Linked DNA regions of Drosophila melanogaster. The protein of the gene in region 1 interacts with the protein of each later gene in a pairwise test. Each region holds a gene or a part of one and is shown in the gene's direction. Other genes may lie near its edges. The genes, in order: CG34198, mamo, CG13133 and scramb1.

What was found.
Region 2: the proteins of CG34198 (region 1) and mamo interact in a two-hybrid assay, tested with the Drosophila melanogaster proteins (one large-scale study listed by BioGRID).
Region 3: the proteins of CG34198 (region 1) and CG13133 interact in a two-hybrid assay, tested with the Drosophila melanogaster proteins (one large-scale study listed by BioGRID).
Region 4: the proteins of CG34198 (region 1) and scramb1 interact in a two-hybrid assay, tested with the Drosophila melanogaster proteins (one large-scale study listed by BioGRID).

What each region holds. Positions count from the first base shown.
Region 1 is NT_033778.4:19,679,755-19,685,725, reverse strand, and holds CG34198 (uncharacterized protein), read left to right. Parts: upstream 1-2,748; 5' UTR 2,749-2,826; coding exon 2,827-3,006; 3' UTR 3,007-3,280; downstream 3,281-5,971. Other genes in the region: CG15128 (uncharacterized protein), read left to right, coding at 1-40; CG15127 (uncharacterized protein), read left to right, coding at 4,450-4,707.
Region 2 is NC_004354.4:13,981,704-13,989,805, reverse strand, and holds the start of mamo (maternal gene required for meiosis), read left to right. Parts: upstream 1-3,363; 5' UTR 3,364-3,435; intron 3,436-3,731; 5' UTR 3,732-4,592; intron 4,593-8,102.
Region 3 is NT_033779.5:10,089,269-10,095,947, reverse strand, and holds CG13133 (uncharacterized protein), read left to right. Parts: upstream 1-3,558; 5' UTR 3,559-3,712; coding exon 3,713-4,366; 3' UTR 4,367-4,740; downstream 4,741-6,679.
Region 4 is NT_037436.4:10,219,985-10,230,357, reverse strand, and holds scramb1 (scramblase 1), read left to right. Parts: upstream 1-5,117; 5' UTR 5,118-5,327; coding exon 5,328-5,498; intron 5,499-6,120; coding exon 6,121-6,490; intron 6,491-7,097; exon of another isoform or gene 7,098-7,150; coding exon of another isoform or gene 7,151-7,452; intron 7,453-8,256; coding exon 8,257-8,747; intron 8,748-8,805; coding exon 8,806-8,964; intron 8,965-9,225; coding exon 9,226-9,285; 3' UTR 9,286-9,873; downstream 9,874-10,373. Other genes in the region: CG32055 (uncharacterized protein), read left to right, coding at 10,194-10,373.

The sequences.
Region 1 (5,971 bases):
GCTGGTCAGCGGCCAGGATGTCGACTCCCAAGGTGGTTAATATTATATACTTGACTATTTTACATTTGTTTTACTATTTTACGGTTACACCAAAGAAATAAATATAAATTTTAAATATTTGTGTTTTAATTTAACTTGTTACTAAATGTTAATTCTATATTTAAAGAAAGTAAATGTGCTCGTAAAACGTAAGTGATTTCGTTCATTAACATTTCTATTTAAACTAAAGTTTATCCCACGTAAAGTTCGTAATGCATTTGCTATCTTCATGACCAGCAATAAAATGGCGACGTGTGATTAAAACTTTTACTTTGTCCCACATTTTAAGCAAAGGCTCTGAGAGAAACACACACTAACTTATATATTGTACATATACCTGGAGAAGAGTCGTAAAAATTCTATCAACTCGATTAAATTATAACAAGTGGATTTTCATGTTTTTGTGCCGCATTTATGTGTTTTTATTGTGCTAATTTTATGCCAGTCCCGCTGGCGCGGCGAACACCTCAAGAAGCAGCTCCTTTTGCTCCTCGTGCTCCTTGGGCAATTTCGGCAGAGAACTGGCACACACACACGCGTGTGTGTGTGTGTGTGTGTAGATAGGCACCTGGTGGCACCTGCAATAATACTTGGCACACATTTAGTGGCAGCATTTAGTGGCACACTGCGGTCGCAGGATCCAACGACGAAGTTCATTCTTGCGACATTTCCACTCTGGCTCTCCCGCCGCCGCCGTACTTGGCAAAGTTTTTGGCCTTCATCCTGCCGCTTGCCACTTTTTTAACAACCACCCACATGGCACGCCTACCCACCTGCCAGCTATTGCCTACCTGGTTTGGTAGCCTCGGCTCGGCTTTTGTCTTATCAAAGTTTTTGGCGCGCATGTGTTTATGCCACAAATGGCACTTTTGCGGCAGCGCATTTTATTTTTTACTGCCACTTTTCGCCATTTTGCTTTATCATTTTTATATATATTATATGTGTCTATACAGAAACAGTGCCAATAGGCTTGGTTCTGACCAAAGTTCAACCTACCATTGTTGCATTTGGACAACACTGCGTATACTCTATTTATAAACCCGAACAGTGGATTTAAATTTGTTCTAATTGAAATATTTTCATGGCTTGTAATAAGGAAACTTATTTGCCTGATTTGTAATATTTTTAATGGATTCTTTGCCTTTACTGCAGTTCTTAACTGTTGCTTTACACTGGTTAAAACAACAGTGCTCCCACTTCCCCTTTCCGGTTTTAAACAACCCTCCCAATAATAAATCTGCGTGAACCCCATTAACCCTTTAGTTATGTTCTTGGAGTCGGAGGAAAGTAACGACTCTATTAGTAGAGGAATTTAAATTGCCGCCTAGTTCGTTTTTATTATCCTCGAGGAGGGAATGGAACCTCCGGCGTAAGGTGCGCAAGCCAACTAATGACCCTGTATTTATATGACAGGGGAAAGTTTATAAATATTTATGGGGTGCTGCTGTTGCTTACTGTTGTTGCTGGCTTTCATCAAGCTAAAACTCATTTGCTTATTTTAAAATTCCGAGCAGGCGTAGTTTCATTTTTGACACCCGGCATTCGTCGCCGGTCCCCCAAAACCGATGTTCCCCATCCGTTCCTTTTTTAGGGATCTGCCGCACGTTGTTGCCATTGTCACGCACACACGTACTATATTTTTTACGCGCATATCATATTACACCCTCCAAACACACAGGGACATTCCCTTGCCTTAAAGGACCCTCCGACCAACCGACCAGCCAACCAACCAACCCCTTTCCCAACTGGGGATGCTACGGGGATCCATCGAGGTTTGGGGACCCAGTCGAAGTAAATAGAATCACGTACACTAATTATCATCGCCATTGCACGAAGGGCGCTCAAAAATATATATTTTTATTAATTTCAGCAAGGTAACGCCGCTCTAAAAGCCAACCAACCACCTTACACATACCCCATCTGCGGTGTTGGGTGAAAATTTTAATTGAGATCTCCGCTATTTGATAGCAACGAGGAACTATTCGCCCGAAATTGATGTGGCCGCTGATGCTGATGGGGCCACTCGAATGGTTGGTTTTGAATGCAAAATGCGTCGTCGGATATAGTTTTGAGTGCTCAGATAAGGTGGCATATATAATTAGCTGCCCCATTTGGCATTATGCGACATTTGTGTGTTTCAAGTTTCCCCCGATAGTTTGTGTAATGTGAGTCATTCATTTGATAAAGTCATAGGGGAATGAGAGTGCCGAACACGAGTTTAATTAAAGTGCTAATCTGACTCCAAGTAAAAGTAAATAACAAAGAATAGAGTATAAGATAAAAAATATAAAAATATAACCAAATATATAGACATCTTAGGGCTTGGAAAATGATGATGACGTTGTTTGTTGAATTGCAAGAAAAATAAACATCAGATAATACAGTATACAGCAAACCCGATAAAAATTATCAGTATATTATCAGATTTTGCATAACTTGTAAGTTACAAGAAAGGCCTTTGTTTATTTGAACAACAACGCTTGAATGCAGCGAATTCATAAATAAAATCATGTAATAAATAACCTATCGATTTTGTAGTTTTCTATCATAAAGCTGGTTAGACAACCAAGGTGGGACCCCAACGAATCGCTAGGTACTTCACACAAATCGCTGGCCACTGATAAGAGTTCCAGTTGCTTTTATCTATAGATAACACCCATAGCAGAGATTGCCGAGAGCGCGGCTATAATAGCACAATCCCAACAATATGACCAGTGCCGAACTAAACGCGTGCGGTGCAACAAGTACATTTTATAATTGAAAACAACCGGATTACAACCAATCGAAATGGACCACAGAACTCGCGTTGTGGAGGTGGTGCAAGTGCCACCCCAACCCTCGACCACGGTGATCGTGCAACCTCCTCCGCCGCCGCCTCCTCCCAAGGATAACAGTTGCTGTTGTTGTCCTTGCTGCCCCTGTTGCTGTCAGTGTGGCGAATGCTGTTGCTGCTGCACCATCATGTGAAAGACGAAGGTGCCCGCAGGCAAAGGACCTCAGAACCCCTAATTCGTTACGTTAAATTAACTTTCTATGTCTATGGAGGCCGCAAACAATTCACACAGTTTTTTCGTGCAATAAAATTTTACGATTCGTTATAAATAACTCTGTGTAGGGCTCACACTGTGGTTGCCATTTTTTTTGTGGCGAAGGGAACACGCTTGGTAACATATTGTCTTACATAAATCCCAATGCGAAAGTACCACAATATAATAAAAAGCCAAATTTAATAACATCCCACAAAAATTTGTAGTTTTATGATGCGCGAGCAGGGGGACAATCCTTTTTGGCTGCTGGAAATGCTCACCACATCATTTCAAAGTTAGTTCACATTCCGAGTTATTATTTATATGTTTCTCAATTTGCCAATAAAAGCGGAAAATGTGTCAAGAGTGCTGCCAACTCCGGTTCCAGGCCCATGCTGCTCTCATTTGATAAAGGATTTTATGACTCTTGGCTCTTGAATTGCAACCGCAGCGTCGGAGCTCTCGCCCCAAATATTTTGACGAGGGTCCCCAAAGTGGGACATTATGTGGGCGGGAGTCGGACAACGAATGCGAGTGCCTTTTTCCAAAGTTAGTAGTCTGCTCATTTAACATAATTTCTGACTCGCAATGCTTCTTTGCCAAACGTTTATCTAAAGCCCAAACCTTATTACTCATACGCACTGTGATAATTCAGACGGAAAACCGTGGTATTGATATCGAAGTGAACAGGCTGAAAAAATCCCATAGTTTAACAGAGTAGGAAAATTTAACACTTTTAACCTGTTTTCCAAGTTTAATATAAAATACTTGAGATACTTGGGCTAACATGTAATCTTAATAAAAATGGAAATACCAGTACTGCCTTTTTTAGAAAGCGGTTGGGGCCAAGTTTAGAAACAGCAAGTGGTGTAAATCGCTTGAACGAATTTTTAAAATCCAAAATAGTCAATTTGCTGCATTGGTTATTGTTAGTTACGATTGATATTTTTTTTATTGATTTTTTACATTATATATTTATTTATTTAGCTTGAAAGAAATTAATAATGGGGTACAAATTTGGTAAGTTTGAGCCAATGTTTATCTACACATAATATTTAGAATATTTATCTGAGCGACGTTTTTAAAAAAAATTGGGTGTGTTTTCCAATGAATATTCAAATGTGTTCCACTGTACCTGTAGTTTTTCTATGTTATTTGCGTGTACACAAATTCGTAATCAGGGCAGGGCATTGATCAAATGCCTACCGGCTTTAGATAATAATGAGTAAGATATTTCCACCAAACCGCCAACCATTTGTGTTCGATGTTTCAGTTAAAGGCGTGTTACCGAACGGGGCTCACTTAGTCGAGCAGTTTAGGCCAGTTACTAGTTATCAACTAGGAGTTTCCGTCATTAAATTAGTAAAAAAGTAAAACAAGGAGAATGTACAACGCAGGCTACCAGGTGGACGTGATCGATCCCTACTATCAGCCGCCCGTGGAGGTGGTGAATGTTATTGGACCCCCGCCCCCCGTAGAGGTGATAATGCCCTCGCCCGTTTACAACCAGCCGGTGGTTGTGGTGGAGCAACCCAGCTACAATCAGCCAGGACCCCCCCAAGGACCCAGTGACGCCGAGTGCTGCATGCTGCTAGGAGCCTGTTGTGTCATGGAGGAGTGTGGCCTGTGTGTCATCATGTAGATTGTGTTGTTGTCAAATGATTGCTATAAGAACTATGTAAACTAAACGCTAAATATATAGACTGAAACTAAGGATGACTAATCGGAGTGATGATTCAAAGTTTGCATTCAAAGCAAAGTTTTAAAAGCATATCAATTTAATATACGATGCATTAATGGAAAGTCGAACAAGTTGGTTTTAAGTGCTGAACCTTATTTTGATATGGTAATACAAAGTGCTTTTGTTAACAATAAATGTTTTATTTCAATTTCACATTCCCTTAACAACACAATTTTGATATCACGCAGACAGATAGTTTCGATAAATCATTAACATCATAAAATCCATTGTCTGCTGATAACAGCCCTTTGATTTTTTAAACTACCGACCTTGTAGCGCCTTTTTTGATAAAACTGCTTGGTGAAATGTTTTCTTGAAAGTTAACCACCCTTCTTGCTAATACTCAAACATAAATATAAACAAGCATAGATTTTTATTTCCTCTATCTTCAACAAGGAAACGTATAGATAGGCTTTTAAGCAAGCGAGGTATCTTTTCCAGCAGAATGCTAACCACATTTTTTTGTTGCCAGCTGTCAAAGAAAATTCAGTGTCTACGTGTGGACACATTCATCCCCTTCTTCAGAGGGATACGCCCAGGCCCATTTTCTTGGGTTTCCTTTTAATAAATATAAAGCGTTAATTTGCTGCATAATTGCGCCATGCCACACCCAGGACTACGTAGATGGGACAGAGAAAGGACGGACCCTTCCATCGCATGGCAGTTAAGTAGCGCAGCCTCGTGCTCCATCAGAACACAACGCATCAGAAAACTTGGGCCAACATGGTCTATACCCCATCGTGGCTCCCTTTTTCATGTCTTCAATGACAGTTATTTCATTTTTCTTGTTGATGTCTCTCCCTGCACTCATTAAATCAAGTTAAAAAGGCATATAGCACGCAGTTGCTGCCGATGTTGCTTGTTGCCGTTGCCATTGCCGTTTCCGTTGTAAGCCAAGCTGTTGAGTTGTTCTGGCCCCAACACTCTGTTGTTCTTGTGGCTGTCTTGGCGCAGTAAACAACAAACAGCAAACAGCAAACAGCAAACGACAAACGACGACAACAAACAGCCAGGAACCGACGACAACGAATTTTCAAATAACATCTCACAGAACTCCAGAAAGGAAACAATAAAGCCGATGCGAAGAAAGCGAAACTCCTCCAGTCATTTGTGACTCGACTCGACTCGACTTTACTTTAATTATAATAACTTGGCAGCAGCATCG
Region 2 (8,102 bases), on another chromosome or scaffold:
ACACTATTATTTTAATAGAGTTTTTCAATTTGTGATATTGAACCGAAAGTTACTAAATAGAACTTAAAATGTATGCATACTTGGAAATTAATTTTTCCAAATTTAATACATTTAAAACATTTCGCATGCTCTTGATAAGCAAAATGCTCGATTAAAAATTTAAATTTAAATATGGCAAGAATGCTTCAAAGAGTAATTTTTCAAAGTAAAAAGCTTGAAAAGTTCTTAAGCTCTATATAACCTTTAAAAAGACGGAAAAACGATGCTATATATGATATTTTTTTTAGGTATATAAAAAAATCCTTTTTAACTACATTTTTAAAATTTATAAAAAAAAAAACTCTTGTAAAATTGCGAAACTAAATTCTTTAAAATATTCAAGATCAAATTTCCGCAACTTGTGTTAAACCAAAAATCACATATAATTTTGCCCGAAAAAATCCTGGAAAATGTGTGCTAGAAGATTTCCTACCTTACTTGCCGTTAAACACATTGATCTTGAAATAGTTGACAGCGTGGCGGATTTCCACTCAATCTTGGCCAGAGTTTGAGTTCTATTCCTCTTCCTTTTCCTTTTGGCGGCACGGCTCTCTTTTGGGCCGAAAAGTAGCGGCCTCTTTGAAGGCCGAGTGCGAGAGAGTTTCGCGAACTGCAACGTCGACGTCGACGCTGGCAGACACACACATGCAATGCGTTTTTCGCTTTTTGCTCCACTCTTTTCGGCCTTTTCGCTCTTTCGGAGCGAGGTTTTCACTCGCGAATTCGAGTGAAGTTGCGACCACTATATTTTTGCGTTCTGCTACTTCTTCTCCTTTTTTTTTTTTTTGCATTCTATGAGTGTGCGGGTGTGTGTGTGTGTGCTGCTGCTGCCGCTGCTGCTGCTGCTGCTGCTGCTGTTGCTGCTGCTGCTGTTGCTGTTGTCGTCATCGGCGGTCCGGCAACGTAAACGAAACGTATCGAAAACGTATTGAATCATAACAGATCCGCACGTTGTCGCGCACGTACGCAGTCCGCGGAAGAAAAGCTACAGCTCTCTCTCTGTCTCGGCTAACAAACACACCAAACACACATTCACACACACCTATTCCAACTGCAACGGCAACTGCAACACAACTGCAACACAAAACAACAACCTGCGGCAACAGCAGCAACAACAACAACAACAACACAACAATTCAAAACATCAATCACGAATAAAAAAAAAAGTCAAATATTATCAATCATCCATCGACAAAAAATCGCATTTTTTCCTGTGTCGAAAGTAATTTCTAAATAAAATTCTTCCCTTTACAAAAATACCCGCAAAATATATATTTATATTAGCAGTAAAAAATCCAACATCGCGCCGCGTAACTTCATTATTTTTTTCAAGTGTTTTTAAGAATTTTTTTTTTTTTGAATATAAAATATTGCAAGTGAAAGCAGCAGCAACTATTTTTGATTTTAGCAAATTGTGCTGTTTCTCAAAAAGTGTTTATGACAAAGTGCTAGAAAAACCGGAAGGACCACATATATATAATATACAAAAAATTACAGAATTTTCGTATTTTGTGTTTGTTGAGGATCACTTAAGTGCCCCAAAAGGTCATGTGTTTTTCTAAGGATTTTAATCATGCATAGCCAAGTTAAAAGTCTTAAGAGGGAAACTAGTGATGTTGCGTTTTCCAAGGACAACTAAAGTCATTCAAAGGATATTGTTTATCATTTCGAAAATGCATAATGTTTCATGTTTCATTTGTACACCATTTTATGTTTGAATTTGTGTGCTTACTCATTCTTATTTACAAGTGTTGACAAGTTCTAATAATAACATTTCGAAACCACGAAAGGAAAGATTCAAATATCCAGTGTTTTGAAGGATTGAAACTATGTTTTTAAGAAGTTAGTTGCAGTTATAAAGAATGTCAATTCCGAATTAAGTGTATAAATATTTTAGGCAAATTTTTAGTAGCTAGGTAGTGGCTATTTATTGCAACAGGCCCTCAAAAAATAATATGTAACTAATATTGTAATGTGTTTTCTTAAATTGTCACTTGTCCTGAATTTGTGAATTGATTAACAAGTGCCAAAAAAAAAACCCAAAAAAAAAAAAAAAAAAAAAAACTGCAGCTTAGACATCAGATTAGAAATTGCCGACGGAATATCGCAGAGCTCTGTTGAAAATATTCTGAGCGGAATTTTTAGTGCATATTAGAACTCTAAATATTAAATGATATTTCAATGATTTTTTTACTGTTTCTTTTTTATGTCAATTTGGCAATTGCATTGTATTATTTAAAGTTTAAATATTTCCATACTTCAATTTTAAATGTATTTGTATTATACTCAACTAAAACTTTTAAGGTTTTAGTGTGAAAGTAATTGTAATTAAAGATTACAATTTTCGATTTTAAATTTTGTATGAAAATGAATTAAAACGAATTGCCACATTTTTCATTTAGCCTTATTCATGTGCTTTACTACTAATTTTGTGGCATGCACATAAAATCGCACTTTTTTTTAAACCAGTGAATAAACATAATTATTTAAAAATGATAAGTTCATCATTTTTGTTGGAAAATGTATTAAAACTTGTTAGATTTATTAAAGCAAATTTATTGAATTTAATAAAAAATTTAAAAGAATAGTTTCGAACCTTGTTTTTTTTGTTTTGTTGAATTTATCAGTTTTTAATATTTTTCTTGCAAACCATTAAAATCGATCAGATTGCATTCCGTTTTAAGATTGATAAAAATGATAGTTTCAATTTTATTTGAGTGATTTGAGGGCATATATGGCATTATTAAAAATAATGCACATTCAACTAGAGTTCTTGTCCTGCGTATTAATTTGTTGGACCTTTCTTTGTCCTTTTATTTGAACCCCAAAAACTTTCGGGAAACATATGGCAGACGGTTGTGTGAGTGTTTGTGGGTTTTATTTTCTGAATGATATGTTGCTGCACTCGTACAGATTACGCATACGCTGCGTTGTCCACTGCGAAGAGAGAGAGAGAGCGAGCGAGCGAAAAGAGAGAGCGCCGCACCGTGCACTTTCTGCGATTGAGTGAAAGAGAAAAAGTGACTCGCGGTGGGAAACGAGGTGCATTTTGGCTCAGCTTTGCTGCGTTTTTCACCGACGCTGCTCTTTTACGAAGCGCGTGCGGCGCTCTTAGTACAAGCACACACCACTCACACACACACACACACACACACACACATACGTATGGACTACGATGTGCAGGGGCACCCACACATAGGCGAACGGGAATCACTCGGCAATACGAAGCAACGCAGTCGCAGTCGCAGCGCTGCCGCCGCGCTGCCAACGCCAATGCTCTTTGGGTTTTGGGCTTTTGGCCAGGCTTTTTGGTTTTGCAGCTCTGTCGGCTTTGGACTTTCGCAGAGATTTCACACGCGATGCGATTGCAGTTCTTGCAGACACTTTCATACGTTCGTTCGTGTTTATTTTCGTTAGCCTTAGCCGCAAACAGCAAATAAATTACATTTTGCCAAGCGACAAAATATTCAAATATTTTACGAATATTTGTACGGAAAATATTTTGGATTCTTTATCGTTTATTTTTTTTTTCTTCTTTATTTTTGTGCGCGGTTTTTGGAAACACGAATTTCGAGTAATAGGTCCTTTTGCATTCATTTCTGTCCTTCATTCATGAAATTAATTTTTTTTTGAATTTTTTTCAAGTGCTCTGCGTCGGTTTCTAACACTAGTTTTTGTATACTTTTTCCCAGGCATAAACTTAAACACAACAAAAATGTTTTATAAATATATTATTATAAAATAAAAAATTACAAATAAATGAAGTAACAGCGAAAGTTTTTAACAAAGTCAACAACAACAACAACCACACAAAAGAAGCAAGAAAATCCTTAAGCGTAATTTTTTTGTATTTCAACAATGCAACAACCACAACAACTACATCTACAACAGGGGCAACAACTGCAGCAGCAACAACAACCGCAAGAACAACAACATCAACAACAACCACAACAACCAAATGAAACAACAACTCAAGGCGGCTTTGCACGTGTGTGTGTGTGAACAACAACAACAACAACAACAACAACAACAAAAGCGACAACAAGCTAAAAACTTTAGAAAAACTTACAACAACTTTTTTGGACTTGGAGCATTTTTCGAAATCTAAACAGCCTAAAGTAAATACCGAAAAATATCCCGCAATTATTTTGTGTTTTTTTCCCCATCTCAAAAACTACAATTTCATTTCAAATAGAAAAACGCAAACAATTTAAACAAAAAACATGCTCTAAGGTTGTGTTAAAGGAAATTAAACCTATTTTGCACCTTAATTCTTTGATTTCAACAAAATTACAACAATTTTTTCCAAGTGAAAAATTTGTGCGAACCGCAGAAAACAGAAAAGTGGAAATAAACAAAAATCAAGTCAAATTTAATTCAATGCAAACAGCAAGTGCAACAACAACATCAACAACAACAACAACCACAAGAAATTCACCCAAAACATCAACAACAACAAAACCAACAACTGCGGCAAAGGCATCAACAACAACACCAACAACAAGAAGAAGAACGAGAACAAAGTTTTGAAACTGCGGTGTTTGGCGTTTATGGTGAGTTTTTTTTTACTTTTCAAACAATTTTTCAAATCATCGAATCATTTATTTGGCACTTCGTTTGCGATATTATTTTATCAAGTGTTTGCGTGGGTCAAAAATCGAACACGAAGTGCTACTCGATAAGAAAAGTGTTAGGTTTGGATGAATTTTGGCCATAAATGGATTAATAGCAAAAGTGTGAAGTGAGAGGAATGGAAAGTGTTGGACAAAAACTTGTTTGCGATTAATTTTGTCCATAGAAGCCTTGAATAAACTATAACTTTGAATTGCAAAAAAAAAACGGCGTTAATTAAATAAAATATTTGCAAAATTACTAGCCATTGGTGACTTAACTAAAATAAGGTGCTAAACAATTTAACTTTGATAAGAAATACACTTTAGGGTCATTGCTACTATAAATGTATGCTAGATATAATATTTTTGATTATATATATATAATATTTGTATATTATTATTCAGACAGACTTCAGTTATTGCTGATTATAAAGAACTTAATCGTAATGCCTATAGTTAAGTGTGAAGATAAACATAAGTTAGTTGATATAAAAAATGGCAATAAAACACCCAGACGTATACATAACTCTATTCACGAATCAGTTTTGTTACCCTTTCCATATATATATATATATATATATATATATATATTTTTTTTTTATCAACCGCTCTTTTGGCGACGACTGTAGCACTTCCCGTTTGAACCGGATGCGCTTTTGGAAAAATTTGCTGAATGTTATCAAATATGTAAAATGGAAATGCACTTTTCTGGGCCACAACAACTGGCAAAAAATAAAATGCATATATCGACAAAGCAAAAAGAGACAAAAAAAAAAAAATAAAGAAATAAATAGTAAGCCAATCAATAAATTGGCAAAAAGAAAAGTAAGTTAACTAAATGCTTGGTCAGTTTTAGAAGTCGCCAGCGAATAGAATCGGCAAGAAGAAAATTCTCGAACTTCCGGCGCCACCAGAGGCGCCAACTAATCATCGCTTTTTTTTTTTGTTTAGCTTAGTTAATCAGGAAATTGGGCAAAAAAAAAAAAACGCTAAAGAAATTGGAAAACTTTAAGATTCAACTTGAATAGATGACATGTTTTGTTAGCACTATAGAATGTTATAAACGTAGTGTAAGTTATGTTAGATTTTATTTTAAGTATTATAAGCAATATATCTCCTTTATATAGCTACGATTTGAAACGAATATAATTTATTAAGCTTATATAAGTGTTTTGTTCTAAAATTAAAGTGGATTTTTTTTTTTAAGAGAAGTCTGCACTTCATGTAATTAAAAACCCACAACACAAGACCTTAACAAGACGAAACGCACTGTCTAGCTTCTTAGCGCGCCTTATCCTCATTCCCATCGCTGTCTCTCGACTTTATCGCAATTATAAATATTTATAAGAAATGAGTCCATACAAACGAATATCATTCCCATTGCACTTGGTGGGGGGTTTTTGAGCGCCGTTTTAATGGCTTCTTTCGTGTTTTTTTTTTTTTTGTTTCTGTTTTGTTTTTCAAATAGTATTATTTTTTATTATTTTTTGCCATACTGCGCAGACGCAACAAGATTTGCAAAATATTCTAATATCATATAGTATATCATGTTTTATTTTTTGACATTTCCATTTCGTTTAATTTCAGTTACATTTTCGTTTGCAAAAATTCATTACAATTCGCGTAATTGCGTTGCCTTTGTGTGGATATTGTTCGTGTGTTTTTCTTCTCTTTTTTTATGTGCAACAGTTTTCGCTCGTGTGTTTTTTTCTAATTATTTTCCGCGAGTGTGATTGTGTGTGTGTGTGTGTGAGTGTGCCTGTGAGTGCAACTAATGAGCAACTGCCGGTCGACTTGCCAGCGGTTGAAATTATTAACTCATTATGGGGTCTCGGGTGTTTTAAGTGCCTCAAGTCAGCCTGTTTTGTTTCGTTTCGTATTTTTTCTCCTCTTTTTTTGTTGTTGTTTTTTTTTTTAATGGCTTGCGTGCGTTTTTTTTTGTTTGTTTGTGCATCTCTTAATATTTTTTTTTTTTTTTTTTTGTGTGCAGTTGGCGGCAATTGAATAAGGTGCAACATTGTTGGCAGACGGATTCTCCTCGTATAAATGAGCAGAATTAATTGAAATGGCCGAAAAGGTAAAGAGAGGCGAGTACAGGGTAGCTCTGAGCCCAAATGCTTAAGTGCTGGTAATTGTTTTGTGGCTTGAGCAACCATTGATTAATGGCGGTTAATGTGCTGAAAAATTGCAAATGTGCTACACAGTTTCACCTGTTGTGCTGAACACGTTTTTCAATAAAAGCTAGTGCAAAAAATTAAGTATTAAGTTAACATAGCATAAGAACCTTAAGTACATATTTGCTGAACAAATATATTGCTTAAAAATCAAATTAAGTACATAGTACATATATAAAACGAATAGCAGAAAACATGTATAAATATATATTGTACATTGAATTATGTTTAAATTGACATAAACTAATTACATTAATTTTTATAGACATGAGAGAGAGAGAGTGAGGGCAAAAAATCGTCACAAACCCAAGGGATGTGTAAAAAAAATTGCCAATGGCCTTTTTTGCTAGTGCCGAAAGCGCCATAAAAAAACATGGGATATTCTACGTACAATACCCAAGCCGTAACAGTCATTCCCCAAACCGATTTTTGGCGCTTGGCTTGCCGTTGTCTAGACAAATCAATATAATCCAGACGGCAAATGGCCAATATAAAAAGAACTACATATAACAAAAATATTACGCATACGCCCGGCTGGATTCGTCGGGCGAAAAAAAAAGTGCAGCAAATTAAACAAAATTTTTAGATTTCCTCAACAAGTTCGCTTTTATGTTTTGTTTTGTATTTCATGGAGCCTTCTTTTTCTGTCTGTCTGGAGTATGTAAATATATATGTGTATATGCCTACAAATATATATATATATATATATATATATATTACGTATATATATATATATAAACGTCTATATTTGCATTTGACAAAATAAGTGCATGGGCGCAAGCAAGAAAAAGAAAGCAACGAAAGGCAAATAAAAAAAAAAAATAGAAAGAAAGAATTCCGTTAAATGTTTCAGGACACCGGAGCAGACAGAGAGGGGTATAGGCACGGGAACGAGACGGGCATAGGGGCAGGAGAAAGAGAGAGGGAAAGTAAAAACAACAAGAAGCAACTTTGCGGTTGCAAGAGGAGGCAAAACAATGATGGCGGGAGGGAGGCGTGGGTTGGGCTGGCGGGGTTTTTGAAATCGTTTGGAAAAAAAAAGGGGGTTAGATGGGGTGCGAGGGATCTGAAAAATAGGTTGGTGAGATGGGGAAAATGTAATTTGGCGGCGCTTTCGTTTTTCGTTTCTTTTCGTTTTCGCATTTCGCCGAAACTCGCACTTCAATTAATCAGACTCTGCAGTCGCCGTCGACGTCACTGTATGCCAACACCACCTCACCCTCTGCGCCTGCCCACCCACTCTTAACCCTTGTCCTGCTTCTGGACTTTTTCCCTT
Region 3 (6,679 bases), on another chromosome or scaffold:
CTTGGCAGGCTGGCTTTCGCCATTCTGGGACAACGCGTTTTTGGAAACTACATGTCACGAAACGTTGCCAAAAGTTGTTTTTATCTGACCAGAAATTTAAATTTCCATTCTCTTGAAATCTAAAAATATCTAAAATTTCAAGAAAATGCGCGTATAAGCTGTTTGGTTAGGAAAACATTCGAAATGGATCGAACTCTTTAGGAATATAACTATTATATGGTAAATTGTTGTTTTTATCTTTGCAACAATTTAACCAAATATAGTTTGTATTACTTGTTATTCAATCGGCAGATGGCCATCAAATTGATAACGATGTGTTCTATTTTTATGCGGTATTCGAATAAAGGATTGTTCATCCGAATATTACCTTTCAAATAAATAAATGTATGGCCCCCATTCCCGCAAATCGATAACCAAATCTATTCTCGGAGTTCAGTTTTTGTTATCTAGTGAAGCCAACTATGCGTTTTCCAAATGCCAACTGCTACATAGAACAATTCGGACCCTTCCATGGCCATTCCGCCAGCTAGCCCCATCCGATGATGATGATGGTGATGGAGGAGGAGGTGGTGGTGGTGGTGGTGGTGGGGATCCGGACTTATGATTACTTTTATGCATATTTGTACGGATCCCCCACATGTACATGGTATCCTTGTTTGCTGCAGGACCTCCACGTGGCTGGCAGACCTTCCATCAGTTTCAGTTTCGCCCAGTTTGCGTGGCCCACTCGGACGCATTGATGTGTAAAAAATGACTGCCGTACAAAGCCGCAAACATGTGTTTTACTCCACCCAAAATCCCCGCAAATGGAGGGTAGGCAAGTATTAGTAAATATTTTAACTAAAGTGAAGTGAGTGAAGTCATTCATTTGGACATTTACCAACTTTGCATTATACAAACGACTACACATTAAATCCGTCCGATGACTTTACTTTTGCGTACTAAAATAACCGGAAGTAAGTGAATTTTTAATGCTTGATTTCACCGCAGGGAGATGTTCACTTGGGCAAATGCTATTTATTATCGAAATATGGCCAATACTGGCCATCTACTGATTAGTTACCACCGATGGCTATTGGCAACCAATTGGCACATTTAGACAGTTTGCTTAAGGCACGTATAAAGTAATTGTGTTTAGACTTAGATAAAGGACAATAAATATAAGTATACATATCTAGTAACATTAACTACATTTTAAGAATATGAAGTTTCGAGCTTTCGGAACACTATCAACCAATCCGTTGTGGCCAAGTGTAACGAACCTTATGTTCAGATACAGATACCTTTAAGCCCGCAAACTGAGGCGTTCGGCCGTTAATCTATTGGATTGCCAGTCGCCGAAATTGTGACCCAGTTAGCAGATGTTTATCGCAAGCGTCGTAGGCAATAACCCACTTAATGAATGCAATTATTTTCCAATCACGGCACTAAGGCATCCAAAGCTGGTTGCCAAGAGGCCCGCAACCATGGCTAACTGGCCCCAAACTCCCAAAACAGGGGTGGCTTTGATTAACATGCCTTGGCGTTCCAATTGCCATTTGAAGGCGGTAGGTACACACACACACACACACATGTGTGTAAAATAATCAATGGCCACGGTCATTAATTGCGCCCCTAATCCTGTGTCCTTTGCAATCTGGGGCGAGGATTTGCAGGACTACAAGGCCGTTGGGCTGATTAAGTGCCACAACAGTAGTAATACAATTATTGAAGCAGCGGCTAAGCAAATACTTCTCATTAAGCCAACTTCGATTGTCTTAATTGTTGGATTTTACTTTTCAAAAATATCCTTAATCGCTTGAAATAATCGAGGTCCTTTTATTGTGCAAACTACACCACTTTTTGCTTACTTAAAGCTTGCGAACACCTTTAAAGTCTGAATTGAACTGAGTTCAAGACTGAAAAGCAGCCAACAAAGATCCATTTTTCCCACATTTTATTTGCCTAACAAATTCCAGCTAATTCGATCAACAGGAGCTTGCTAAAAACTAAGCTCTGTACGTTTCTCTGACGTCTTTGGCATCGATGTGTTATGTAAAAGCGGTGCACAATTTGTAGCCAGCAAACCAATTGACCTTTTGAGGAAGGAATTTAGATTCCTGCTAATATTAGCTTAACCCTAAGCACTTGCGTAATCTATATTTGTCCCAGCGCCATGAAGTGGAAGGGCTTGACTGCCTGTCAATGCAATTTCAAACCCATCTACCCCTTGGCCCCCATCCCCTTTTGACTTTTCTGCTTTTCCCTTGGCCAAGAAAACATCGACTTTTGGCTTGGAAGCTAACGAAACTGTTGCAGTCACTTTTGGCCGTGCTCTGAAAATTTGTCAAACTTGCTTAAAAGCCAAAGCAAAAATTCAATTTCAGCAGCCATGCAGCGCGAGCAGCCAAATTGCCTGACCCCAGCAGCACCAGACATAAGTAAAATATATATCGTATATATTTTACAAATTGGCTCAACCCGGGGCAGCAGTGGTACAAAAATGGCAGCAACAAAGAGGCAACAACTGTCTTGACAACGCAACGACGATGTCGTCGTCGTCGTCTAAGGACAATGGAATACAGCTATCGAATACAGGGTGCAAATCGAGAGGAAGTGGTTGTAATTTGGTCCCACGAGCCTTAAGGATTTGGCGGGAAATTTAATCCGACGCAGCTTTCATTATCTACAGCCAATCAGAAAATTTGGTTGCTTACTTTTGCCATATTTTCCGTAAAAGATAGCACCCTGTTAACAGCTGTTTGGATAGCACTGCAGTCACACTGAAAAAAAAAACGCACTAAAAAAAGTGTATTTCAAATTTTAAAATAAGTATACAATTTTAACAAGGACTTTTGCCACTCTTCATGGAGTAGCTTTCGATTTTCATAGATATCCATGCAGTTTCTCTTAGTGCATAAGTATCCAATGTTGCTGTGGGGTCACGATTTTCATTAGTTTCATTTGCCACAATGCGTCTGCCATACTCGTCTGCCGAGTTCAGTTGCTCGGATTTGCTTTGCTCTTCCCGTGGCGGGGTGACAATGGTACAATTAGTGACACCATTCGCCATTCCTCCAGCACTCGGTTTGATTCAAAATTTTTGGCATTATCTCATAACTGGCTCAACTCGCGCTGTGTGCACTGTGCTCTCCTTGTCCCGTCTTCCGATTCCGGCTCCTTGGCGCCGCTTGTGCAATAAAAGGACGAAGCTCCGCGGCTGATTGGACTGCTGGTGGGACGGGTATTGATCAAACAGTTCGAGTTGTCGGACAAGGCTGAGACCCACTTTCCCGGGAACGCGTGTCCCACTGAAGGAACGCGATACAGTAAAATCCTGATATATGTAACTGATTGAGAGTTATCACTTAGTAAAAAGCCATTTACCTGTAGCCAACTTAATTAAAAGAATATCTTTTGGTTTACGTGCATGTTTCTAAATGATCCTTTCCTGCATCGAATTGGAGTCGCACCTACTGAAGAGTCACTGTACTTAAAAACGCCATTGAAGGTGGAACAGAAATATGCTCAGTTAGAGTGGCTTTGGTGCCAGGTACAGTTGTGCAGCTCCAAGTTCCAGCGATTACCATAACCTCATCCACTCAGTTAGCTTGTAAGAGTCGAACCGGGCGGAGGGCAACGGTTTTTTTGGCCACATAAGCCAAAAATCAACACGCTTGCTCCGTGTGTCCAACGAACCGGAGTCCGTGCATCGGGAACCGGTGGCGCAGTCATGCCCATCCACTGGGACTGGGATTGGGAGCATGATCACGAGCATGGTCACCATCACTGGCAACCGCCGCGTCGCCACTGGTCCACCGGGGAGTCCAAGTGCCGGCAGAGGCACTACTATCTCTCCCACGACCTGGACGTATGTGCGCGGGACTTTCACTTGCGGATGGACGACAGTGCCTGGTGCCATGGATCCTGTCTGGTTGGGCGAGTGGTCATAGAGACCGGCACCGAACCGGACTCCCTGGGTCGGGGCACCTTCAAGGTGGTGCTGGACGTGCACCACTTTCAGATCTCTGAGCTCACGGTGAAGGCCAAAAACAGCGACACCGTGTGCGTGGAGGGCAAGCAGGCGGATGACCGGGCGGAGAAGGGTCAGTTGTGCATCACTCGCGAGTTTACGCGATCCTACAAGCTACCACGGCACTACGATGCCACACAGGCACGGGCCACCTTCTCTGCGGACGGAATACTGATGATTACGGTGCCAGCACCACCGAAACTGGACGACGTGGAGCGCGAGATCGAGATTGAGCCCACGGGCAATTACTTTGGCAGCGTGTCCGATCCCACGGCGCCCAAGGCTATCGAGCAGGCGGATGTGGACGGCGATGGTGGAGAGGCTAATCCTGCTGGCACGGCGATGGACAAATGAAGCCGGCGACGTCTGGCGGTTGCGCGGCGGTTCCGCTTGCTCATACCAAAGTGGAGGCGGAAGTCCAAATGCGTTTAGGCCGCCAGAGGCAGTCGATCGGTTGGAGGGCAGTTGCAGTATATCAGACGGAGAGACAGTCGAAGCACATTCCAGTCACCTGGCGCACATGCACGTTGGAGTTTTTCGTGGAAACCAAAATCACTCGGATTGTTCCTGGGTTCCAGCTTAGATAGCACGTAGTCCTTCGTTCGAAACGTGAGCAAATATGGCGAAGTCAACATTTTGTAGAATTTTCTTAAGGTAGCTTCAATATAACGTTTAAGAGTTCATATCCGCTTGTGATTTTGTTTAACGCCAATAAAGGACTTTATCAGAAAACAGGAGAGTTTTGAATATTTCCAGATTTTTCGAAGAAATAATTTAACACCTTTAATCTTATCATTTATTTAAACGGTATTCTGTTTTATTTTGTACTGTATTTTGCAATGGCTGTTCATTTTCTTCGAGCTTAATTATTAAATATAATGAAGATGAACATTTCACTGGAAAATATATTTACATTTAATGAATTCTAAATCAAATCGGATCAAGGTATTTAAAGATAACAATGTTTCATTCCACCAAGTTGTTATTTCAAGTACAATCCGAATGAAAATATCCTCCAGCTAATCGGGAAAACAAACCCAAATCAGGGATAAATCATGCCTCTGGGAAAACTTCAGCTCGAATTCAAAACCCAAGCGAATTGGATTTCTCGCTGCTTTTAACTTTCCTGTCACGCAGCTTTTGATTAGCGTCAAATTTGAATAAAATTCACTAACACCTTTTGTGTTTTTCTTGTCTGTGTTCGTATCCTCGGGCACATGGCCCATAAAAAGACAATAAAGAAACCCAGCTAGTCAGCTAGAAGTGTATAATAGACGTAGGCATACGTACATATGTATTTTAGTTTGGCTATCGACCCAAGAAAATTCTAAAAAAAAGGGAATAAAACATAGCTACAAAGCTCTTTTCAAAAGCTATGAGATACATGAAAAGATTTGCAATTAAATGTCAGATGAAATGATTTACTATCTGCAGAATAAGTTTAAAAATAGTTGGGTAACAATCTTAAGCTCCAACATATTTTGCACCAAAAAAATAAAAGGCTGGGCACTTTGGGGCGTGTGACCCACTTCATAAGAACCCAATCAAGCCTTCGACCTTCTCCCAAAATCGTGGGCTACTGCTCCGTTTTTGATTCGGTCTTGGTCCCTTGCAATTTAGCCGTTGAGACACGTTTTCCCGTTACGATTCTAATGAAATTTGCTACATCTTGAAGTGAATTGTTGCAGGCCGCAGCGCGGCAGCTGAAAAAATTGCCAATTGAGGAGACGAGGTCGCGTACACTTTGTCATCGTTTTGTTTTTATGCGTAGTTGCGTTTAATAAAGTTTTTATATGGCGCCCTCGACTAAGAGGGGAATCCCCGAACGTAGTGCCCATCCTGTCGGATGCCCGGACGGACTGCCTGTTTTCTAATCTAGTTACGATGCCTGCAGCTTTAAGATATTGGTCGGGGGACTCACTTTCCGGGCCGTAGGATATTCATATATTTACGAGTATGGCGAAGGACGCGCGATAAAATATTCAGCAGAAAAGCAACTTCACAATTTCAATTTCCCATGCCATATTGGTGACGGCGGGGACAAACCAAAATAACACAACGATAATAAACACCTACACACCCATTTTATGAACTCATAAAACACTCCGATGGAATCGGAATCGTATATTTTATATATATATATATATTGTGCGTGTGTCCGTGCTTAAATAACTGGATGAGGCCTACAGCCTTGTTGTCCATAAAAACGCACCCATATGCACCTCTTCCGCTCCCGGGATCTAGAGAAAACATTGACCATCATCGACCATCGCCATGGGCCATTTCCATTGTTGTTTCATGGTTTTTATATTTCCCGGTTCGCGACTCCGCAGAAATCGGTATGCGGCTCACAACTAATTTTTATTTTCTATGCCCTTTGATCCACTGCGGGCGCCGATTGGAATGTTCTGCTGGCAACTTTTCAATCACACACTACCACTACTAATCAAATATCCCCGGGGATTAGCCAACTTGTAGATGAGTTGACGGTGTGCGTGAAGGACGGGACACCTAATTACGCAAATTGATGCGACATTAGACGGTAACGGAGCTGGAAACTGGAGCTCTCTAGGGGGATAGAATACTGAAGGACTTGTTTCCGCCAGGGGATCTTAGACGCCGACTGTATTGACATGTAGGAATATATAAACAAACATTTCGCATGCC
Region 4 (10,373 bases), on another chromosome or scaffold:
TCCCCAACATGCTAAACCGCTTGCTAAACCCTAGCCATTAACAGATCGACGGTCTGATCAAGTCAGTTACACTACAAACAACTCATATAGTTACTCCAATAAAAATGTATATGACTTCTACTAGCTTAAGCTGCTTTATACATTGGAATATTAAATTTTGTATTGATATGATACTGTTATAATCTCGTCGTTCTGATCTTATCCTATTTGCATAATATAGAAATTAATTATATTTTTTTCCACTGCACCAACCAAAGTCAACTTTATTTAATTTATGAACGAAGAGTCTTGTGGCTGTTTTTTCTGCCATGCATATTGAGTTGTTAACAAAAGTTGTTTGCGCTTGTCGACCAGCTGTCCGTCTGTTTTTTCAGTACCCTGTCCATTTTTTTCCATCAAATCTATCATCGAAGTCCGAAGCGCGACAATCTGTGAAAACCCCAGAAGGGCAGGCAGATCGATCGGAGCCACCCCTTTCGGCCGCGATGACCTCTGACCCGCTCAGATTTGTAGATGGCGATAGGCTAGACTAGATAGTGCCAGCTGCTCTATTTCGGAGGCAGGCAGACAGGCACCTCGCAGTTGACTGCACATCGAAAGCTGCCCGCGAGTGGGCCTTAACCCTTTTGGGTTACACTGGGAAAAACATTTTAGATTTTAGATTGTTTTTCGATGATTTTAGATGCACTTAAACGTACTAAATTCGGAATGTATTCTAGAGAAATTCATTAAAAATAGAATGGATATTCTGTACTTAATAGTATCTTTGGATACTTAAGGAGCCTAAAGTTAGCGTCTTGTAAATTAAGGCAACCAATAGTTGTTAATATGTAAGATATTACAATGACTTCTTAAAAATGTATTACAAATCGTTATTTGAAGTGTGAATCTCTGCTTTATCCCCGCAAATGGCAGCGTAAAAATTCATGCCGAAAAGATTTTTAATATGCACGCACGGTGACCCGTGGTTCGCCGCTACCCTCGAACCCTTACCCGCTGACCGAGCTTGATTTGCAGTTCATTTCGGGATGCTACTGCAAACTCGCTGCGGAGTCCTGAGTCCTGAATCCTGGATATTCCTCGGATGGTCCGGCTAGACAGCTGCACCGCCCCTCGCCGCCCTCCGCTGGCCGGTAATTACACGGGGCATTTACTTGGCCTTTTGTTTCGCATCTCGGTTCTTTCAAATTTATTTTCCGCTCCTCGGCGCTGCCCCTTGTTTGCATATCCAGGCATATCCCGTTGAAGGATAAAGGCGCGCGCTTAAATAAGCAATTACCGTGTGCCAGCGACCAGCATCCTGTCAAAGTCCTGCCCAGCGTCCTGCCGAAAAAATACAGAAAAAAAAAACGAGAAAAAGGGTTGAGCCACTCGGCCAGGACAAAGCGCCGCAGAAAAGGGTTCACAAAAAAAGGGGAAGAAAAATCGGACAAAAATACACACACTCACTCATTTAGCTCGTCCTGCTGTCGGTTCTGATTTAAATTTTTTACCATGACATGTGGCAACCAGACAAGGTCCACCCTGCAACCCTTTCCTCATTTCTAGAATCCTGCTGCCCGCTAAAAATCTCGTTATTGATTTTTTAGCCAGCTTTAAAAACGGTCAGACAACAAGTTCAAGTTCAACACTTGGTTGGTAATTAATTTTTGCAGGGACCGGGCTAAGAGTAAAGTGCGTGCCGGGCTCATTAGCATAGGGCCCTGGGAGAAGGGTCATTGTGCTTTTAATTGGAAAACATTCGGAAGGACGAGGCCAATGGCAGAATGAAAACTCATTAAGATTTTGCCGCACAACCCTTTTCCGCCGGCTTTTCTGACCCAGTTTTCCACTGGCCAGCCGGCTTGTGACCTTTTTCTTCGTGTCCGTGGATCGTAATTAAGCAATTAGCTAGGAAACACTTTCGCCCTTTTGGCATTCCGCTTGTGAACTTGGTAACTGACCCACGCAAGGTGAAATGCTTTGAGCCAGGTGTGTAAATCCCCCCCCCCTCTTTCTCTCTCTGCAGCACATCGTTTTGTTCACTCTTTTTGTGTATCTGTGGCTCGGCACTTCCTGTCATTCGTTTTGGAAATCGCGACATCGTGATTGCATTTGGCATATGCACATGTGCACTCGATGGCGCAGCTGGCGAAAAGGAGGGCCAAAACAACTGGCCATTGACCAAATGCAGTGGCAGTTGCAATTCCCCCCTTTGCGGCATTGACACATTTTTTTCGTTTCATTTTTCGCAACGGGGATGTGTGTGTTCCCACGCTTAACTGACCCGACGCAATGTGGATTCGGTTAAATGGTGAAGATTCGCCAGATTTGGGAAACCATATATGGTCTAAAGATTACTGCAGACTCGTCAATGGCGAAATTTATTAAGATTATTGATTTTGAAGCATATGCTTTATATATGCCTTACTGTTTAAAAGAAAGGATATTTCATATTATTTAGTTAACAGTCGAAATGAATTAACTCAATTAAAGGAAGGCTGATACCTTATTTCAATTTGATGATAAGTAGGAGTACTCCAAATGAAGTAAGAGAAACTTTGTTATCAAATGTCTTTAGAATTGAATTCAAAGAACCGGGATATTTGTTCTTTATTTTTGGTTGAGTAAGCTTAGTCTTCTTCATCTTTGATTCTTTTTGTATTTTATATGTTCTACAATGATTCATTGGTTTGTGGATCTCTGGCAGCAGCTGCAACTTTTTGGCCGCGTGGCAAAGAAGCTTTGATCGATCGGGACATTAGAAGTCCACTTGATCGCATCTCCGAAACTTGATTTATTGTCAGACGCTCCGATCCTTTCGATTTCGAGGCTAAAGACAGGGCCATAAATTAGATCGCCTTTGCGATTGGCGGACAGAAAGTTCAGCAACGCCCGAAATTGCTCCTTGCCAGCAGCTTTAAGGACGAAGCGACGGCTAATGAGGCGCTTTGCAAGGCTCAAACGAAACCCGATCCAGGGCTTTTTAAGGGTCTTTGGTGCACAGTGGAAAATAGTATAGGTGGTTTAAATTTTCTGCTGAATATCCAAAAGAAAGTAAGTCGATTTAAGTGATCATTACTATTTGATATTTAATATGTACACAGTTAACTTTTTTGCATAACCTTTGGTATTGATGTTGGATTTTGTAGCAGTGTAGGGACCCGCATGGCTGTTTACCATTGCATTATGTTGGCTGCTTGCCGCCTGCCTGATTTTTTGAGAGCCTCTCCTGCACTGAACCGTTCAGCGACGGCCCTGGCCCAAAGGTCATGGGTGGGGCCAAAAGGGGCTAAAAGGTGGTGGTGGCACAAAAGGGGGCTGGCCTGGCAACAACTGCTGCACTGCTGAGCCCGGCTTTTGTGCCTTTGGTCGGTTGCCAACCGCAAATATGTTCGCGTTCCCGGTCCCCATTCTGAATGCGAATTCTCAGTCGGTTGTTTTATTTTCGCATTCTGCATTTGCTGCCATTGCAAAGTCAACTAATTGAATGTGCTAAACTCACCCACACAGCAGCAGCACAAATATTGCGTTATATGGCGCATTAAACGCTCAGTTCTGGATTTCTTCCCTGACCCTGATGAGTCCTTCTCCAGGACCCCTCTAGATCCACTAAATCCGCCCTGCACAGAAAGAAACAATAGCTTTTAGGCAAATTATATAAGTCAATTAATAATATATAATATATTCCATTATACATTCGTATAATAGTTCTAAAATTGTCAAGCTGTAAATAAACATCACGCAAACGTAGTGAAAATTTTATTGTGCAGGATTTTGTGTTCCTTTAAGGAATATATTTAGTATATAGAAATATATCAGTGGACATTGGGTTCTAAGTTTATAGCATCGAGGACGAAATGTGTGATTTTGCGCGGTGTGTGGGTGGTCCTCCACCATGACGGTAATGCTGATGACGATTCCTCCATTTCTCGCTGCATTTGTATGGGTAATTACCGTGGTGTGTGTGAGTGAGTGAGGGACGTCTGCTAGATGTCCATGACCATGGGGTGGAATTCTGCTCGCAGTTTTTTTCTATATACACGGTTTTTAGCATTTTTTTCACATTTCAACAGCCCGTCTCTTTCACTCTTACAACAGTCGCTCACCCTGCCCACATTTTTTCCATCATTTTTTTTTTTGCGTTTTACTTGCGTCGGAAACCGCCATTTTTTATGCGCGCCAACTACGCCGCCCTCTCTATTCCTCTCTCTCCCTTTCTACCACGCAGCCCCTCTCTGTCGCACCCTTGAGGTGTAGGGGAGGCACACCCTCTCAATGAAAATTTGCGCATTAGAAAAAATGTGGACTGTTCTCTGAGCCAGTTGTGGCATACAAAATGGATTTATTCAGCATTTTTTTTTTAACTATACGATTTTTGTTTCTATTTAATTTGGACAGTTGTATTTTTGATATAGTTATAGTATAAGTAAAGCAAGAAAAAACGTATATTACAAAATGTAAATTTAAGCAATTTAAAAACATAAATTAATAATCAAAGGAAATGCCTTATTTACTAAATAGCTTCTAAAACATAAATTTTAATTATGCTGAAAACAATAATAATAACTAGTTGAATAAGTAACTTTATGCGAATTCTTATTATTTTAATAAGCATATGTTAAAGTTAGGGAAACGCTTTCTTTAAGCATTTAGTATATAAAACAATATTATTATTTATTTATTTTTTAGGAAATATATAAATACCGTTTAAATAAACTAATAATTTCAGAGCGTAGTAGATTAGTTTTTAAATGTAACTGATTCACATTCAAATTTCAAGAAACCAAGTTACAAGCTCGTAGGTTTGAGTCTTTACTGGGCGTTTCAATTTTGGATGGTGTCTTTGCTTGCTGTATTCTGCTAATAATAGAGCAATGCTGTTATGAAAACATTTCATTTATACATGACTTTTACATTGTCAAGTAAACATTTTGTTAAAAAGATTGATGGCGCCATCTATTCAATTTTAAAATATATTTAATATTTGTTAATTTTAATTCATATAACTGAACTTTGTATTTAAAGTTATGCATTCTAGGAATTATCTAACTTCTTTCAAACCAGAGAAATTGTCCGCTAAAAACTTGGCATATTTAGCGTGTAGCTGGTATTTTTTCGCTCTTCAGTCACGGTTACACTCCGAAACCCACCTGATTTCGCGAACTGCATTACTATCGAAACTACTACTGTACTTAACAGAAAGTGCGTGCAAAACAAATACAACATTGTTGCGATTTCGTTGGGGCCGTGGCCGCAACAATTCCCCTCCAGTGCAACAACAACGCAGCACGCGGAGAGCAGAAGAAGAGCAGGAAAAGAGGAAAAATCCGGGGAAATCCCACGAAATGAAGAGTAACGTCAATCAGGGCGGTTACGCCCCACCCGGTTTCGGATCCGGATTCCAGCCAAATGCTCCGCCCGCCGAAGGATTCGGCTACCCACCGCCCACTGGGGGCCACAACGCCCCCTATCCCCCCGCACCCGGTCATCCACAGCCGCCGCCGCCCACGAATTACGTGAGTTCCAAAAGTGTCCCGCTGTAGCCGATGAAAATGCTAGGGAAAGTGGGTGGTGTAAAGGGTGCTTCTTGTACAAGCACAACACAACCATGACGTCATGCCAGTTGGTATTTGCTTATTTATAAATCAACAGACACACAGTCAGTTTGCTGTGGAATGAAAGAGATTCATTCGATTTGCACGCGAATCCGTGGAATCGGCGGTTTGATAAACACAAACAACTGAGAACTCAATGTACATCCATATGTACATACATACTGTAAAACCAGTAATGCAGACTGGATAAGCAAGTCGAAAGCTTAATTCTCTTGCATTTACTTATTTACATTTACGTATGAATGTTTTTATGGCTTTACTATTTTCACTATGTTTTTCACTCATGCCAAAAGAGCGTTTTATTTCCATTAAGTTTTGGATAAACTTAAAATATTACTCATCATTCATGCACAACCGCGTGAAGTTTTCATTCTTATAGAATATTTATTTACTCCATACATTTGCGTGCCAGAGTGCTGATAAGTACAGCTACAAGAATACAAGCCAGAGCACAAAAAACTAATCGAAACGCCCCTGAAATAAGTATTCAACTCATTCTTTAATCAACTCCCGATCGTTGCAGGGGTTTATGCCAGGTCCTCAGCCAGCCGGATACGCTCCAGTTCCCCAAATGCCGCCATACGGAGAAGCTCCGCCCTACGGAGCCGGACAACCACCTTACATGGGTGGTCCAGGTGGTCAGCCACCTTATGCGGGTGGTCCAGGCGGACAGCCACCTTATGTAGGTGGTCCTGGTGGACAGCCACACTACGGAGGAGGAGCACCACCGCCCCAGGCCTTCGGCGGATATCCTCCCGGACCAGCAGGACCAGGAGGACCACCAAACGCATTCGGCGGTTATCCACCGGGACAACCACAACAGCCCATTGTCACGCAACCGGGAATGGGACCGGGAATGGGTCCAGGGATGGCCCCACAGGGCGGACCAGCAGGCAAGTAATCAAAAACTAGTCTGTAACATAAAACAAATGTTCTACATGTTGGACTCACATATTTCTACACAAATCAGGGTGTTCAAATCATGGCACGAGACTTTTATCGCTTTCTGCTTCCTTGTTAAAATTATTCATTCCATATCTGAGCTTACTTCTTATATAATTTTACTACACAAACCGCTGAATCAAAACAAGATCGCATCTTTGTGATGTGTCGGTGTGTCGTTGCCCTGCGATTGAGATAATGTCCAATCAGTTGTCTTAAGATTTCTTCGGGTGCAGGCACTGAACCCATCGTCCCAGATAGAGGTAGCTCGTCAAGATCGGTGTAGAACAAAGGTTCCCCCAGAAGCAAAGTGGGGTGCAAACATTTACGTAGTCAATTTGGAGAGTGTTAGAGACTTTAAGGTTCTTAGACCGCCTCTTATCAATTGTATTTTTGTTTACACGTGCATCGGATCCGTCCGAAATAAGCTGAATATCTTTGCCAGATCTTTGGCGCTTATCGGAGTGCCTAGCGTCTGCCTTAATTGAACCAATAAAATAATACAAAGCGTCATTTAAAGCGCCCGTCGTCGTGGATGGCGTTGATTTTTCCCAACGAGCAGTTAGTTCATCTCTGTGCTGCAGAGCAGGCAGTCGTGTCAGTCTGAAAAAATGTCCACCGAAAACCCAGCAAGTTGTGTTTCCACGCTGGACCTAAGTGGTGGCGAAAATCGGGGAAATCCGGAGGAATCTCATTCCAGGGGCGTGAGGAGCGGCTCCAAGGTGCTGCGCTTAATCTGGCACTCGCTGTATAGCCAGTATAATCAGATCTGCTCGAGATCCCAGACTCTAAGGCAACTGGTTTGCAGGGAAGCCAACAAACCACTGCCCAAGAAACTCAGGCACACAATGAGACTAAATAAGTCGGCCAAGCGAAAGGGATACGAGTTCTACATGAGCGACGAGGACAGGAGGTAAGGAAGTCATATTGTGGTCTTGACCAGAAACTGTAGGGATGAAGATGACGGGTTGAAATGATGAACCTTTTAAGATTTCGAGTGTATAAAAAATGAAATACTCAGCGAGGTAATAGATAAATTACACTACCTTTTTGATTAAAAAAATTGAGTGAAAACGAACGTGAGTGAAAGGAATGATTAGGAATATATAAAAATACGCTAATACTTAAAATAAGTAGTTTCGTTAAGATATGCCTTTTGTAGTTTGGTGCAAATTATGTAAAATTATCTTTTCAAGGTTTTCTTACATTGTGAAATTAAATATTTATTAGTAGATTTATCTTTAGAGCCCGTTATAAAGACTATCTTTCTACCGCCGATTAGATACAAGAGCCGATGGGTGAGGTAGCATAATAGCTTGTGGCTGGGGGTTATCCATGGGATGTGTCAGGAGGGGCATGCTCCATTGTGACGCTTCCAATTAGAAAGGCCGAGTAATTGTGTCGCTGACATTGACCAATTGACACACTGGCCACTGAACGCACTGAACAAGTTAGCCTTTTGTGTGCACTAATTTAATTTGACCGCCAAGATTATAAGAAGTCGGAAAAAGAGAACATTCTCATAAAGTTCACTTTAAGTTTTATTTTTAAATTCCCTTCAATCAAATTATACCGTAACCGAAAAAGTCTTTAGTTTGAATGGTGCTTCTTTGTTTTGGTTGTATGTTTTATTGTATGCATGTATCATTTAATTTTATAACAATTTAAGCCACTCATTTCTATTGAGAATGGATATTGATGAGTATTATATTTGCAGGAGACTGGATGAGTATACCTACCGGAATTCCGAACTGTCCGCGCGGATTGGAGTACCTTACGACTATCGACCAGCTTTTAGTTAAGCAAAAGGTCGAGCTGCTCGAGGCCTTCACTGGTTTCGAGACCAACAACAAGTTCACGATCAAGAACGCCCTGGGTCAGAAGGTCTATTTCGCGGCGGAGGACAACGACTGCTGCACGCGCAATTGCTGTGGTCCTGCGCGTCCCTTCGACATGCGGGTCTTTGATAACTTCCAGCAGGAAGTGATCCACATGCACCGCCCGCTGGCCTGCTCCTCCTGTCTGTTTCCCTGCTGTCTGCAGAGTATCGAGGTCTCGGCACCACCCGGCAATGTTATCGGCACCATTGAGCAGGAGTGGTCCATCTGTTCGCCATCCTTCCGCATCCTCAACCACGTGGGTGACACGGTGATGCGCATCGAAGGACCTTTCTGCACCTTTTCGCTCTGCGGCGACGTTGAGTTCAATGTATGTTTATAAAATTCAAATGTTCTGTGTGATTTTACTAATATTTTTTGATTCTCAGGTTGTTTCGCTCACTGGTGAGAAGATAGGCAAGATCTCGAAACAGTGGTCGGGCCTGGCACGTGAAATTTTCACGGATGCGGACTTCTTCGGCATCAATTTCCCACTGGACTTGGATGTGCGCATGAAGGCCGTTTTGCTGGGTGCCACATTCCTCATAGTAAGTGTTTTCTTTTCAGCAAAGATTTATTGTAGTTATTTATCATTGGCCTCTGCCAATCAGTTGTATAGTGTTCATTTTTATCGGTTCAAGCTGTTAAGACGTCTGCAACGCAGACTTCGTTGGTGCTGAGGTAATGTTGACCCTCCAGCCCATTAAATCCTCCAGCTTAGTTTGAGTAGGCTAGTCCAGCACTAAGTCCTTCACTCGTCAATGTTTTCTGTCTGTTTTCTAAACGAATGCTTTCTGTTTGCCCCACAGGATGCCATGTTCTTTGAGAAAGCCGGAAACCAAGAGACCGATAGGCCCGGAATGCTTTAGGAATCGGGTGCTGGCTTGTGCGTGAATTGTTTATGCGTTGCAACCGATTGTTGTGGCGTTTGTGGCAATTGCGAATGCGATTGCGACGATTAAATGTTGTGCATTATCTTGAGTTGCAACTTTATCCAAATATCTTCCCGGTGAACTGTCGCGTACTAGTCTTCTGTACCAAATGCTTATTGATGAAAATGGATCGCACTAATGAAACTCCTTGTTAATTTTGATGAACATACTGAACTCAGGCTTCCTTCGAGAGGACATTGCCAGAATATAAAACTAACTTTAAGTTAGCATTTTTTGCTATTTTGCCACAGCAATTACTTGTGTAAAGTATTCAACGACAAATCAGCTTTATTTATGAATTTTGTATTGATGCTCTGAAGCGACAACTAACTAACGAATGATTCGTTATTGAAACATGTACTTTAAACTGTATGTTAAGTGTCTTATGGAAAGAAAAATATATTTAACATTGTATATTGTTAAGCATCAGGAAATTTATATATATCCCTACTGATATTATGGAACAGAAGGTTTTCTTTTTATGTATTACAACAAAAGTTAAATAAATTATAAACTTATATACTGGTTAACGATAAATTGCTGGAACCCCTAGATAAATTCATAGTCCGTAATACTCGAATGTTTCTAAATTATTTTGTTTCACAACGAAAATGTATGTTTTTAAAAAACTATATAGGTGTTTTCCGGAGCAAGTTTCGTGTTGAAAACAATTTCCTTTCGTTGGAACTGAGGCCATCACTAAATCATCAGCTGATTTCGGTAAATGGAATCGGAAACCGGCTTTTAGCTGAACTAAAGAACTGAAACGAGTTTGCTCTGATAAAAATAAACTCAAATTAACGCATTGCACTTGGCTCAAGCAGAAGTTCGTTTTAGTAGTAAAAATGCAGGCGTTGCAAGTTTTGGCATTGCTGCTTCTGTCCGGAGTGTTCGGTAAGGATCTTCAGGAGTGCGAGGATCTTGGAAATGGTAGCTATCTCTGTCGGGAAATCGAGAGCTTTGAGCAACTGAATCGATATGTCGGTAAAAACTGGAAAAGTGTGAAGGTTGTCAATGAACACACA